Linked DNA regions of Pelodiscus sinensis. The protein of the gene in region 3 purifies or fractionates together with the protein of the main gene of each other region. This does not show direct contact. Links are inferred from orthologs where the notes say so. Each region holds a gene or a part of one and is shown on either strand. Other genes may lie near its edges.

Region 1 (3,742 bases), on a different chromosome or scaffold from region 3:
GAACAACGCACACGTTTAGCTACAATTACGTAGCCAATCGTTAGATCGGCAGCTACAGCCATGAGCCGTGGATTTAACCGGGATTAGTACACCCGACAGATTGCAACTCAACTTTTCCATTGACCTCCACGCCAGGTACTTTGTACAAAATTTGGTACAACAATGGTACAAATGGCTGTTGTCAAACATACAGTACCATAACAGGTCGGGGTCATGGCCTGGTTGCTATGGCATAGGTCAGGGGTCAGAATCTGGTTACCAAGGTGCAGGTCAGGGGTCATGGCCTAGTTGCTATGGCATAGGTCAGGGGTCAGAGTCTGGTTGCCAAGGTGCAGGTCAGGGGTCATGGCCTGGTTGCTATGGCATAGGTCAGGGGTCAGAGTCTGGTTACCAAGGTGCAGGTCAGGGGTCATGGCCTGGTTGCTATGGCATAGGTCAGGGGTCAGAGTCCGGTTACCAAGGTGCAGGTCAGGGTCATGGCCTGGTTGCTATGGCATAGGTCAGGGGTCAGAGTCTGGTTACCAAGGTGCAGGTCAGGGGTCATGGCCTGGTTGCTATGGCATAGGTCAGGGGTCAGAGTCTGGTTGCCAAGGTGCAGGTCAGGGGTCATGATCCAGTTGCCACGGTGTACGTCACATGTCAGCATCTGGTTGCTAAGGTGCAGGTCAAAGGTCATGGCCCGGTTGCTATGGCATGGGTTGGAGTCAGGGTGCGGTTGCCATGGTATACGTCATGGGTCAGGGCCTGGTTGCTATGGCGCAGGTCGGGGGTCAACACCACGGCGCCAAGAGCGCCGCCGGCGACGAGTATTATGGTCTGCCTGGCCCGGGTTCGGGCGCTACTTTCCCTGCGGCTGCGGAGGGATCAAGTTCCATCTCCGCCCCTTCCGTCAGCGCGCGGCCTCGCGCCTCCTTGCCCCGCCCCGAGCGAGTCCCGGCCGCGCAGGGATTCGGACGCGGTGACAGGGACACGCATGCGCAGAGCGGGCAGGGAGCAGGCCCCGAGCAGGCGGCAGCGGGAAGAGCTGAGCGCGGCGCGGCCGGTGAGGGGGGGGTCGGTGAGGGCGGGGGGACCACGGGGTGGGAGGCGGGGCCGGGGGGGAACTGGGGGGAGCAGGAGGCGGGGGGACCAGTTGGGCGGGGGGAAGTGGGGGAGCAGGGGGCGGGGGGAAGTGGGGGAGCAGTGGGAGGGGGGAGGGGCAGTGGGGGAGCAGGGGGCGGGGGGAAGTGGGAGGGGGCGGGGGGAAGTGGGGGAGCAGTGGGAGGGGGGAGGGGCAGCGGGGGGCGGGGGGCAGTGGGAGGGGGAGGGGCAGTGGGGGAGCAGGGGGAGGGGGGGAGCAGGGGGCGGGGGGCAGTGGGAGGGGGAGGGGCAGTGGGAGGGGGAGGGGCAGTGGGGGAGCAGGGGGAGGGGGGAGCAGGGGGTGCGGGGCAGTGGGAGGGGGGAGGGGCAGTGGGAGGGGGGCAGTGGGGGAGCAGGGGGCGGGGGGCAGTGGGAGGGGGGGGAGCAGGGGGCAGTGGGAGGGGGCAGAGGACGGACAGGGCTGCCGAGGCGTTGGCTCTCCTGAAGGAGATGGGAGGGGGGTGCAGCTGGGAAGCAAAACCCCAGGAAATGAGGAGTTTAGCTGGCCCCTAAGCCCGCTGGGTTATGGCAGGGGCGGGGGGGGGGGGAGGACACACGTGGCTGGAGGGAGTGTGTTTGTTGTGGGATCTAATGATCTGGCCTCTCTTTCCTCCAGCAGATCTCCCAAGATGACGCAGTTCCTGCCCCCCAACCTACTGGCGCTTTTTGCCCCCCGGGACCCCATCCCCTACCTGCCCCCACTGGAGAAGCTGCCTCATGAGAAACACCACAACCAGCCCTACTGTGGCATCGCACCGTACATCCGGGAGTTTGAGGTGAGCTCACCCCCCAGTAGGGCAGCGCTGATGGGGCGGGGAGGAGCTAGCTGCCTCCAACCCCCCTTTCTCTACTGTAGAGCTTCCTGGCTCCTCCATTTCTGCCCAACTCTGCCACTCACCCACTCAATGCCCTGCTAACATAATTCTCCCCCATCCAGGACCCACGCGATGCCCCTCCGCCCACCCGTGCCGAGACCCGTGAGGAGCGCATGGAGCGGAAGGTATGGCCACCTGCTAGCATAGGGGTCAGCCCACCCTTCCCAAGGCATGGGAGAGTTATCTGGGTCGCCCCACAAATAACCTGCTTCACTCTGTGTGGTGAAGGGCAGAGCTGCCAGGTTCTCTTCTGGCCACCCTTGGGTATCCCTTCTCCTATATAGTCTGGTGATTGAACCTTGGGGCTGGGAGCCAGGACTTCTGGGTCCTCTCCCTGGCCATTCTGTTGTTAACTCCGTGTGAGGACTTTGGGAGGAGTGCCTGGTGTCCCAGCCTGTGAATTGGGAGAAAAACACTGCGGCGAGTAGCGAGGAGGAAGCAGTGAATTCGGCAGCACTTTGAGAGTCTCAAGGGTGCTCATGGCTAAGGCTTCAGAGCCCCCCTTGAGTCCCATCCTGAGGTCCCTCTCTGGAGCATCATTGTGTGGAGTCCAGTCCTGTCATTCCTTCCTTCTGAGGTCCCTCTCTGGAGCATCATTGTGTGGAGTCCAGGCCTGTCACTCCTTCCTTTTCCTTCCTGCAGAGACGAGAGAAGATTGAACGGAGGCAGCAGGAGGTGGAGAACGAGTTGAAGATGTGTGAGTGGAGGGTCCCGTCCGGGGGGGGGGGGTTGCTCTGACTCCCACCTCAGGGGCAAGTCAGCAGCTGGGAGGGTGAACGTGGGCTCAGGGTGGCAGCAGTTTGTTTCCCTGCTATCCGTTCCATGTGCCTATTCCTGATCTCTCCCTCCCCAGGGGACCCGCACAATGACCCCAACGCCCAGGGAGATGCCTTCAAAACCCTCTTCGTAGCCAGAGTGGTAAGTTCCTTCTAACTGCCCACCGCCCCATCCACGGGCACCTGCTTCTCCCCAACCCTGGTAGCAGCCATCTCAGCCTGTGCTCTGCCCCACAGAACTACGACACAACAGAATCCAAGCTGAGAAGAGAATTCGAGGTCTATGGCCCCATCAAGCGGGTAAGAAGCTGCTGCCCACAGGCCTTGCCTACAATGAGCCTCAAGTAGCCCGTCGGTCACAGGCCGAGTCGTGCCCAGGGAGACGTGCCAGGCCCTGGTGGGAAAACCCTGGCAGACAGAGTCCACTTACAAAGCCCCCTTGTTCCCAGTGCAGCAGATTGGCCCTGGGGAAGTGACAGGGTCTTCAGGACAGATGAATGCTAGGGTGGGGTGGGTGGTCCCCTTGACTTGGGAGTCTGCAGATCCCTTGGGTCGTAGCCTCTGTGGACTCCTGGACTCTGGCAGCTCAGTGCTGAGACAGTGGCTGTAACGCACTCTCGTGCGTGGGGTTTGGCCAGGTACCTGCAGGGCTACGGTGGGGATCAGCTGCACCTGGAGATGGGACGCCGGACAGGTCCCTGCTCAGGGGTGAACCCCAAAGCCCTTGCTGTGGGGCTTGTTTGCTTGCTTGGGGATGGGAAGTCCCCTCCATCCTTCCCCGGTCTGGTTGGCAGGGCCCTTGGGGGTGTTCCTGGCTCCCCCATTCTAGACCACTCCTCCCCAAAGGCTGTAATGAAGTTGGTGTGCCCTGCACCCCAGTTGGTGCTTGAGCTCCTCCCGCTGGCGTGCCAGGTGTTAACTAAGATGACAGAAGGTGCTATGGGGCAGTGGCTTGTGTCAAACTGAAGCTGA
Region 2 (3,742 bases), on a different chromosome or scaffold from region 3:
TTCCAGGAAGCCCGGGGCAGAGCAACTCTGCCTCGGGCTTCCTGTTGTCAGTGCTGGTCAGCAACCCAGCAGCACCCCATCTGCTCTGCCCCAGGGTCCAAAACAAAAGCCTGGTCTGCTGGGGGGGGGGAGGGCACACTAGCTCCCCCCCCCCCCAGCAGACCAGGGACACGGGGAGCAGAGCCGCAGCGGGGTGCCGCGCCTCTGAGGCTTTGCTCTGGCAAAGTCTCAGAGGTGCGGGACCCCGCAGCGGCTGCAGCTTCAGTCCCGGTGCCTGTGGTCTGCTGGGGACGGTCCCCAGCAGACCACAGGCACCGGGACTGAAGCGGCAGCAGCGGCGGTTCCCCGCGCTTCTGAGGCTTTGCTCTAGCAAAGCCTCAGAAGCGCGGGAACCCGCCCGGTGCCCCTGGTCTGCTGGAGACGGTCTCCAGCAGACCAGGGGCACCGGAGCAGCTTACGAACGGGGCTTTCTCGCCCCGGAGCTCGCAGGTAGCAATCCGCCACCTCGACCTCCGGGGCGAGAAAGCCCCGTTCGTAAGTGCGAGTCGGATCTGCGTAAGTCGGGGACTGCCTGTACAGCAAAACATACAGTGCCTCTGCTATTTCCAATAAGAAAGGCAAATTAGGTCACTTAAATGAGTTTTTAAACAAATGCAGCTTTCAAAGATCTATTCTACAGTTTCAGTTTGCAAATTGGACCATGGATCTCTTTTGGTTTCTAGCGATTTGACAGGCATTGAGAAATTAGTGCAACTCTGTCTTGACCTAAGAAAAGATTTTGGAACCTTGTTTTAGAGATTTTTTTCACAGGCACAGTGGTTGGCTACTATACCTGATGCAGTGTATGCTCAGTCACAAGAGTCAGCTTCTGCGTATCCCAGATTTTCACAGTTCCGTCATCAGAGCTGCTGGCACAGAAGTTGCTTTCACCAGGATAGTGACAAAACGTGAAACCAGAAACCCTTTCTGTATGGCCTACCAGTTCCCCTACAATTACAAAAGCAAAAGACTTACACACAACACTTTCTAGCTTCAGAAACACAAATGTTTTTCTAAATTTAGACAAAAATATTTTTGATAGAGTGTCTAAGACTAAGTTTACACTTGAATTTTACTGCATTGCAACTGTCTGGATCAGGGGTGTGAGAAAACACCTATTCCCTCCCCCACTCCAGCACAACAAGTTACAGCACTGTAAAGCACCTCTGTAAACGGAGCTACAGCGCTGGGAGCCATGCTGTTAGCTATGACCCTAGTGGAGGTGGTTTACCTAGAGCAGGGCTACTCAACACGTGGCCCGTTTGTGGTGTGGTTTGGGTTTACGTGGGGCTCGACACACAGCCTGCGGGTGGGATCCTTTGAACATGGCCTCCACCGGGAACACGCACTACAATGACGAGTCAATATAATGGTCTTCTGTTGCTATGTGTTTTAGTAGTTACATTCCTGGACTGTCATTGCTCATTAAAAGTGCTGTCATATGCAGGGCTCGCCGAACCACGGTGCTGATTGCTCAAACCCAGCTCTTCCGGGGGCAAGTAGATTGTATTATTTGTCAAGCCTTGGTCATATGGGTGGAAATGGGGTAAATATTGCATTTTATGAATAGCAGCAGAACTGACTTTAATGGGGCCTGCGTGTAGTGTAGTCTTGCCTTAATCTTTGTATTCATGCCCGTCAGTGTGAAAGAAGCTATTTGCATGCATATGCAAAGTATCATTTTGGCCCCCCGGGGCTCCCAAAGTTGAGTAGCCCTGCCCTAGTGCACTGAGAGAGCTCTTAGGGCTCCGCCTGCAGCTACACTTCAGCACTAAAGTGCTGCCCTCAGCTGCACTTTAAACTTTCTAGTGTAGACAAAGCCTGCGTCAGAATAGCCAACCCATCACCTCTCTCAGAATCAGGCTGATTGTGAGAGCTCTGCAACAGGTCCCACATTAGTTGGGAGATCGCGGCTGCGGGCTGGTTTCTCACAGCGGGGTCTCACATCCCATGCACTTCAACACACTCCTACACCGAATTAAAAGCAATAACCAGCACACTCGGAGGGGGGGAGGCAGTTTCACTGCAGTACAGACCCCCCCCAGCTCGGCCTGGCCCCGGCTGAGTCACCCCACGTGCGGGACAGACCCGCGGGCGCAGGCACAGAGCGGGCTGGAGCAAAACGGGCGCGAGGCACATTTACACTGGGGCGAAGCGGGGCCCCCCGGGGGAGCCCTGCGGAGGCCGAGGGCGCTTTAGCCTCCCGCCCGAGCATGGACCGGGGAGCAGCCGAGCCCTGCAGCCGCCCACGGTGCCCGGGCTCCGCGGTGGGGCGCGTGGCTACTGCAAGGCGGGGGGGAGGAGAGTACCGCGTGCTCCCTGCCCCAGGCTCTCGGGGCCCGTGCTCGTTCTCGGGACCGCGGGGGGGACGGGACCGCGCGCTCCTTGCCCTCAGGCTCTCGGGGGGGGGGGGCCGCGCGCTCCTTGCCCTCAGGCTCTCGGGGGGGGGGGGAGGACCGCGCGCTCCTTGCCCTCAGGCTCTCGGGGGGGGGGGGAGGACCGCGCGCTCCTTGCCCCCAGGCTCTCGGGGGGGGGGGAAGGACCGCGCGCTCCTTGCCCTCAGGCTCTCGGGGGGGGGGGGAGGCGGGTCCCGCCGGGGGCTACCGTGGAAGGCGGGCGCGGCGCCGATCTCCAGCAGGTAGACGCTGTTCCGGGCCCCGAAGCCGAAGAGGCGGCCGGCCCCGCAGGTGTCGCTGCAGCGGCCGCAGTACCAGTTGGGGGAGGCGGGCAGGACCCGCTCCGCCGCCATGGCCCCCGCGCCTCAGCCCCTCCAGGCGCCGCGCCCGCCGGAGGCACCGTTACCAGGCGCTGCCGCCAAGCGCCGCCCGCACGCGGTCGCGACGTCACCTCTGACCCCGGCGCGCGGCGGGCCCTGCGCATGCGTAGGGGGGCGCGTGCCGCCAAGCGAAGCGGGGAAGATGGCGGCGGCGGCGGGTGAGTCTGAGGGGAGGGGAGGGGAGCGGGGCGGGCGGGGGTTTGGCCGCCGTGTCCTCGCTAACTGCCCCGCTTCGCTCTTGCAGGGGCCGCCTGGGCGCGGAGCCTCCTCAGCTGGACCCGGCCGGAGAGGTACGAGCCGCGTCTCCCCGCAGGGCAGGTTCGGGCTCCGGGGCTGCGGCTCTGCTCCTACGGGGGGGCTATTGGGGGCTGGGCCCCCGGGCGGGGGCGTGCAGGGCTGGGGGGGGCCGTCCCCCGGGCGGGGGCGTGCAGGGCTGGGGGGAGGGGCGTGCAGGGCTAGAGGGGGGGCAGTCCCCCGGGCGGGGGCGGGGGCGTGCAGGGCTGGGGGGGGCCGTCCCCCGGGGAGGGGGCGTGCAGGGCTAGAGGGGGGGCAGTCCCCCGGGCAGGGGCGTGCAGGGCTGGGGGGGGGCGGCCCCTTGGGAGGGGAAGAAAACCGAGGGAGGAGGTTGGGGTTTGTATTCTGTGGCCCCGATGCCCCCTCCCCCCCCTTCTCTAAGGCCCTGCCCCTGCTCGCTCTGTCCTCCCTCCCCCAGCCTCACTCTCTTTTATCCGGCCGGGGGCAGGAATTTAGGGTGCAGAAGGGGTTCAGGACTGGGGCCAGGATTGGGAATGCAGGCTCCAGCTGGGCACCATTTACCACAGGTGGCTTCTGGGTGGTGGTGCAGGGGACTAAGGCAGGACTGACCCTGCACCACTCCCAAAAGCATCCAGCAAACTCTCTCCATCCCTGCCCCCTCTGCTCTGTGGA
Region 3 (3,742 bases):
CAGACATTAAAAAAATACCCAATAGGATATATGGGTCTGTTCAAAAGCATCTGGCAGTCTAGATTTGGCCTGCAGTCCTCCTGACTTCCCTGCAGTGTCTAATTTGTGGTAATATTCCAAGGACTTGGATATGGTGGCCACCAATCCTCATGTACAGTGGGACCAAGGCCTTGATAGAGGCGAGGGAGAGGATTGCAGCGGCACTGGAAGTTAGTGCTTGTACTACCAGAAGCTTCTGAGTTCAGAAAGCTGAGCAACAGCAGGCCCAAACAAGACTAGTTGATGCTAAGAGCAGATAGTGGTTAGGTCACCAATGGGCATCTAGTCTAGCAAATGGGCTGCATGAGTGGTCCTCCATGTCAGTTACAACAATCTTGTGGCCCACTAAGATGATCTCTCTGGATAGGGTAGTTTTTTTAACTGTTCTTAGTTATAATTTGTGAGGTGTACCTGACTGAATCATAGTAGCACTTTGATTGGATGCAGGGAGGGGGTGCTGCATGTAGTCATTTGGATGAACTGATAAACCTAGACTTAATCGTTTACACATCTATAGGCTAACATCTGTAATTGGGATTCCATTGGGCTAGCCATACCACAAACACGCCTACGTTTTATGTCTAGACCAGTGGTTCCCAATCTTTTTGCTACTGGGGACCAGTAAACCCATTCACAAGCTTTTGGAGGACTGGTAACATATTTGCATATTCATTAAGCAAATGATGAATATGCAAATAAATTGTGTCACTGGCCCTACCTGTCCGGTAGGTTGTTCCACCGCTCCGGCCCCAATCACAGCCACTTTAATCGACTGGCACCGGCTCCCTCAGCTGCATCCGGTGCCGGGTATTCTGACTCGGTGTACCCGGCAGATTGTTCCGCCCCCTCCGGCCCCAATCTCAGCTGCTTCATTGGCCGGTGCCGGCTTCCCCGGCTGCGTCTGGCATTCCGCATCGGTGTGCCCGGCTTTCTCCCTGGGTCCTAGCACCTGTCAGATCTAGCCCCACCGCCCGGGAGCATGCCCAGCAGATACCACGGCGGTGGGTCTCTCCCAAGAGGGCCACGCCGCCTCACTCGGCAGTGCAGAGTGCTGCTACCCGTCACACAAATTAATAAGATTGTGTGCAATAATTTTTCCTAAGGACTGGTACTGGGCCGTGGACCACACTTTGGAAAACGCTGGTCTAGACTATATCTCTTGAAGACAGAATACCATACTTTTACTGAGTTTTCACAACATGCTGATAAAAAAATACAAACTTTAATTTAACCATACCTTCTTTTTTAATTTTGTCATTGATATTATTGATGTAAACAGTATGGTTTGGTCTGATATCCATCTTCTAACTTGCTTACACAACAGCCTAGAAAAACAAGCACAATCTATTAAAATACTTTCCATTTATGAGGATGAATTCTTAATAACAGATTGAGTTTTTGTTAGTTTAGATCAAATACCTGTTGCCAACATCAGGCTATATAAAATGGTATCAGAACTGCCTCGCTCCACAGCAAAAAGGAAGCCCTTTCTATCACATGGGGGTTTTAAAACCATATATGAAAAACAAGTAGCCCTTAAAGACTAATAAAAATACGTATAGCATCAAGAGCTTCCGTGGGCACGAAGCGGGTTTTGCCCATGAAAGCTCAGGATACCATATATATTTGGGAGCGAGGGACTACTCGCTGTTTTCAGCGTTACCGACTAACAGGGCTGCTACCCCTCTAAAGCCACACACGGCCATGTGCCCACAAAGGGCCATCTCCTGGGAGGGAGGAGCCGCCGAGAAAGCACCAAGCTGCGTGTGGACAAGAGATGTCCCGTAATCCCTGGACTGCCCCTCAGCAATAACGCTCCGTCGTGTTCAAACTCGTCGTGTAAACAGCGAGGCCCTCACATCACCCTCCCCCCCCCCCCCACAAAGCCAACCGCAGCCCCCGACACCCTCCCCAACAGCGGCCTCCTTCAGCCACCCAGCGCCCCCACCGCTGCAACGGCCCCCCCCCGCAGCCCATGGGCATTAGGGGCCAGCCCCAAGCGAACCCAGGCGAGCTCCCCCGCCCCCCAGCGGGCTTAGCGCTGCTGGGTGCCCCGGGGCCGCAGCGGCCAGTCCCTCACCCTGCTCCCACCGGTCTCAGCGCCGCACCAAGCCGCGCGCTGGCGTGACCTCATCCGAACACGCAGACGACAAGAGTCGATCTCTCGCACAATCGATATATCGCGCGCCCAATCATCGATGAGCTCTTCTCCCTCGCGCGTTCCTTCCTCTAGCACGCCTGCGCCGCCGCCTTACCAGGTCGGGAGTGGAAGGCCGAGCGGTCCCCGTGTTGCCCCACGTGTCTCACTCACTGCATAGAGTTGTGGGCCGGGCTTAGGTGCAGCACGTCCGAACCGCTTCCGTCAGGGCCAACAGGAGGCCTCCTGCCGGCCCAGGCTCTTCCCCGGGTGATTTTCGTGTTTCTGGTCCTTGCCCAGATGCTGTTGTGCCTCGGCCATCCCCTGCCCTTCTTCCCAAAGGCTCTGAGCCAGCGCTGTCACGCCAGTTGGTGGGGCAGTGCCCTAGAGCAGGCCCCTATGCGGGGGGGGGAGGGTGCGAAGGGTGCAAAAAGCAGGTACCCCATAGAAGCATGCTCTGGCTGGCCAGAGGAAGGCAGCAGCGGGTTGCTGCCCCATGCTCTGGCTAGCCAAGGGAAGGCTGGAGCTGATTTCCCCGCTTACTTGGGAAACACGGGGGCATATCCACACCCTTGTGGCCCACATTTACAAACAAAGCATACACCCCCACAGAAATTCCTGCATAGGGGCCTGTAGAGAATCCCATTTGGACACAAACAGCAACCAGGTGTGGAAGAACAGTCAGGAAAGGGCCTGGGTGAACAAGAGCAAGTTCCTGTAATGCTTTGAAAAATGCTGATACCATGCTGTGGTGTTTTAGTGGGAGTGCTGGATGTATACACTGATCATACGTCCCGGATTTTCTGACACTGTCCTGATTTTAAATACTCTGTCTCTGTGTCCCCATCAAGTAGTGAAATGTCCCAAAAAGCCCTGCTGGATATTTCACTACTTGATGGGGATACCAGCTTGCGGAAAGAATTGACCGAGTCCATGCACTGTCACTGCTCCTTGTGCAACGCCGCCGCAGCAGCAGCCTCCTCCCTATCTCCCCCCGCGCAGAGCGCATAGGCGGCTGCACTGGAGCTTTGCTGGCTGGGGCCAGCTTCTAGTGGCATGTGGTTTCTGTCACTGCCCACCCATGGGTTGGCACCTCATAAATTCACCCCTCTTGGAGCCAACACCCCTTCCTCTCGCCCAGGCAGCAGCTCTCACTAATTGCGCTTAAAGGGGCAGCGGCATGCACATCCCCTCCTGCATGGGCGCTCTTGTTTCTGGGTAGTCCCTGAGCCCAGCATGGCTCCCAGACAGGACAGGCACTTGCTCATGCTCAGTGCCTGCATGGTCACTTACTTTCTATCAGCCACCCAGTGCCCCACCACTGCACAGTGCCTCCCTCTCCCTGAGGGACTGCCTCTATCGCATGGGATCCCTGGTCTGGCCATGTAGCCTCCTTTTCCACATGTGCAGGGGCCGCTTGTTCTTTGTTCTTCAGGAACCAGGAGCTGATTGGGGTGGAAACCTCACCTGGGGAGAGATGTGAAATCTTTGTGGGATGGTGATACTGTTATGGGTTGCTTTGCTATGAATCTTTGTTAATAAGGTTATTAAGTTTCTGAAAACATC

Evidence for each region.
Region 1: the proteins of SNRPB2 (region 3) and SNRNP70 purify together in Homo sapiens (affinity purification with mass spectrometry; 5 studies listed by BioGRID and IntAct, counting the BioPlex papers as one, with this or other methods). This does not show direct contact. The link is inferred for Pelodiscus sinensis from reciprocal best matches to the Homo sapiens genes SNRPB2 and SNRNP70.
Region 2: the proteins of SNRPB2 (region 3) and GEMIN5 purify together in Homo sapiens (co-immunoprecipitation; 3 studies listed by BioGRID and IntAct, with this or other methods). This does not show direct contact. The link is inferred for Pelodiscus sinensis from reciprocal best matches to the Homo sapiens genes SNRPB2 and GEMIN5.

The regions. Positions count from the first base shown.
Region 1 is NW_027465870.1:64,340-68,081, forward strand, and holds the start of SNRNP70 (U1 small nuclear ribonucleoprotein 70 kDa), read left to right. Parts: upstream 1-888; 5' UTR 889-1,042; intron 1,043-1,735; 5' UTR 1,736-1,748; coding exon 1,749-1,895; intron 1,896-2,056; coding exon 2,057-2,119; intron 2,120-2,636; coding exon 2,637-2,691; intron 2,692-2,847; coding exon 2,848-2,912; intron 2,913-3,007; coding exon 3,008-3,070; intron 3,071-3,742. UniProt on the Homo sapiens protein: Component of the spliceosomal U1 snRNP, which is essential for recognition of the pre-mRNA 5' splice-site and the subsequent assembly of the spliceosome. SNRNP70 binds to the loop I region of U1-snRNA.
Region 2 is NC_134727.1:38,193,361-38,197,102, forward strand, and holds the start of GEMIN5 (gem-associated protein 5), read right to left. Parts: upstream 2,857-3,742; 5' UTR 2,789-2,856; coding exon 2,644-2,788; intron 2,008-2,643; exon of another isoform or gene 1,936-2,007; coding exon of another isoform or gene 1,887-1,935; intron 988-1,886; coding exon 833-987; intron 1-832. Other genes in the region: MRPL22 (large ribosomal subunit protein uL22m), read left to right, coding at 2,958-2,973, 3,060-3,105. UniProt on the Homo sapiens protein: The SMN complex catalyzes the assembly of small nuclear ribonucleoproteins (snRNPs), the building blocks of the spliceosome, and thereby plays an important role in the splicing of cellular pre-mRNAs.
Region 3 is NC_134713.1:180,793,972-180,797,713, reverse strand, and holds the start of SNRPB2 (U2 small nuclear ribonucleoprotein B''), read right to left. Parts: upstream 2,263-3,742; 5' UTR 2,120-2,262; intron 1,885-2,119; exon of another isoform or gene 1,459-1,884; intron 1,365-1,458; 5' UTR 1,341-1,364; coding exon 1,277-1,340; intron 1-1,276. UniProt on the Homo sapiens protein: Involved in pre-mRNA splicing as component of the spliceosome. Associated with sn-RNP U2, where it contributes to the binding of stem loop IV of U2 snRNA.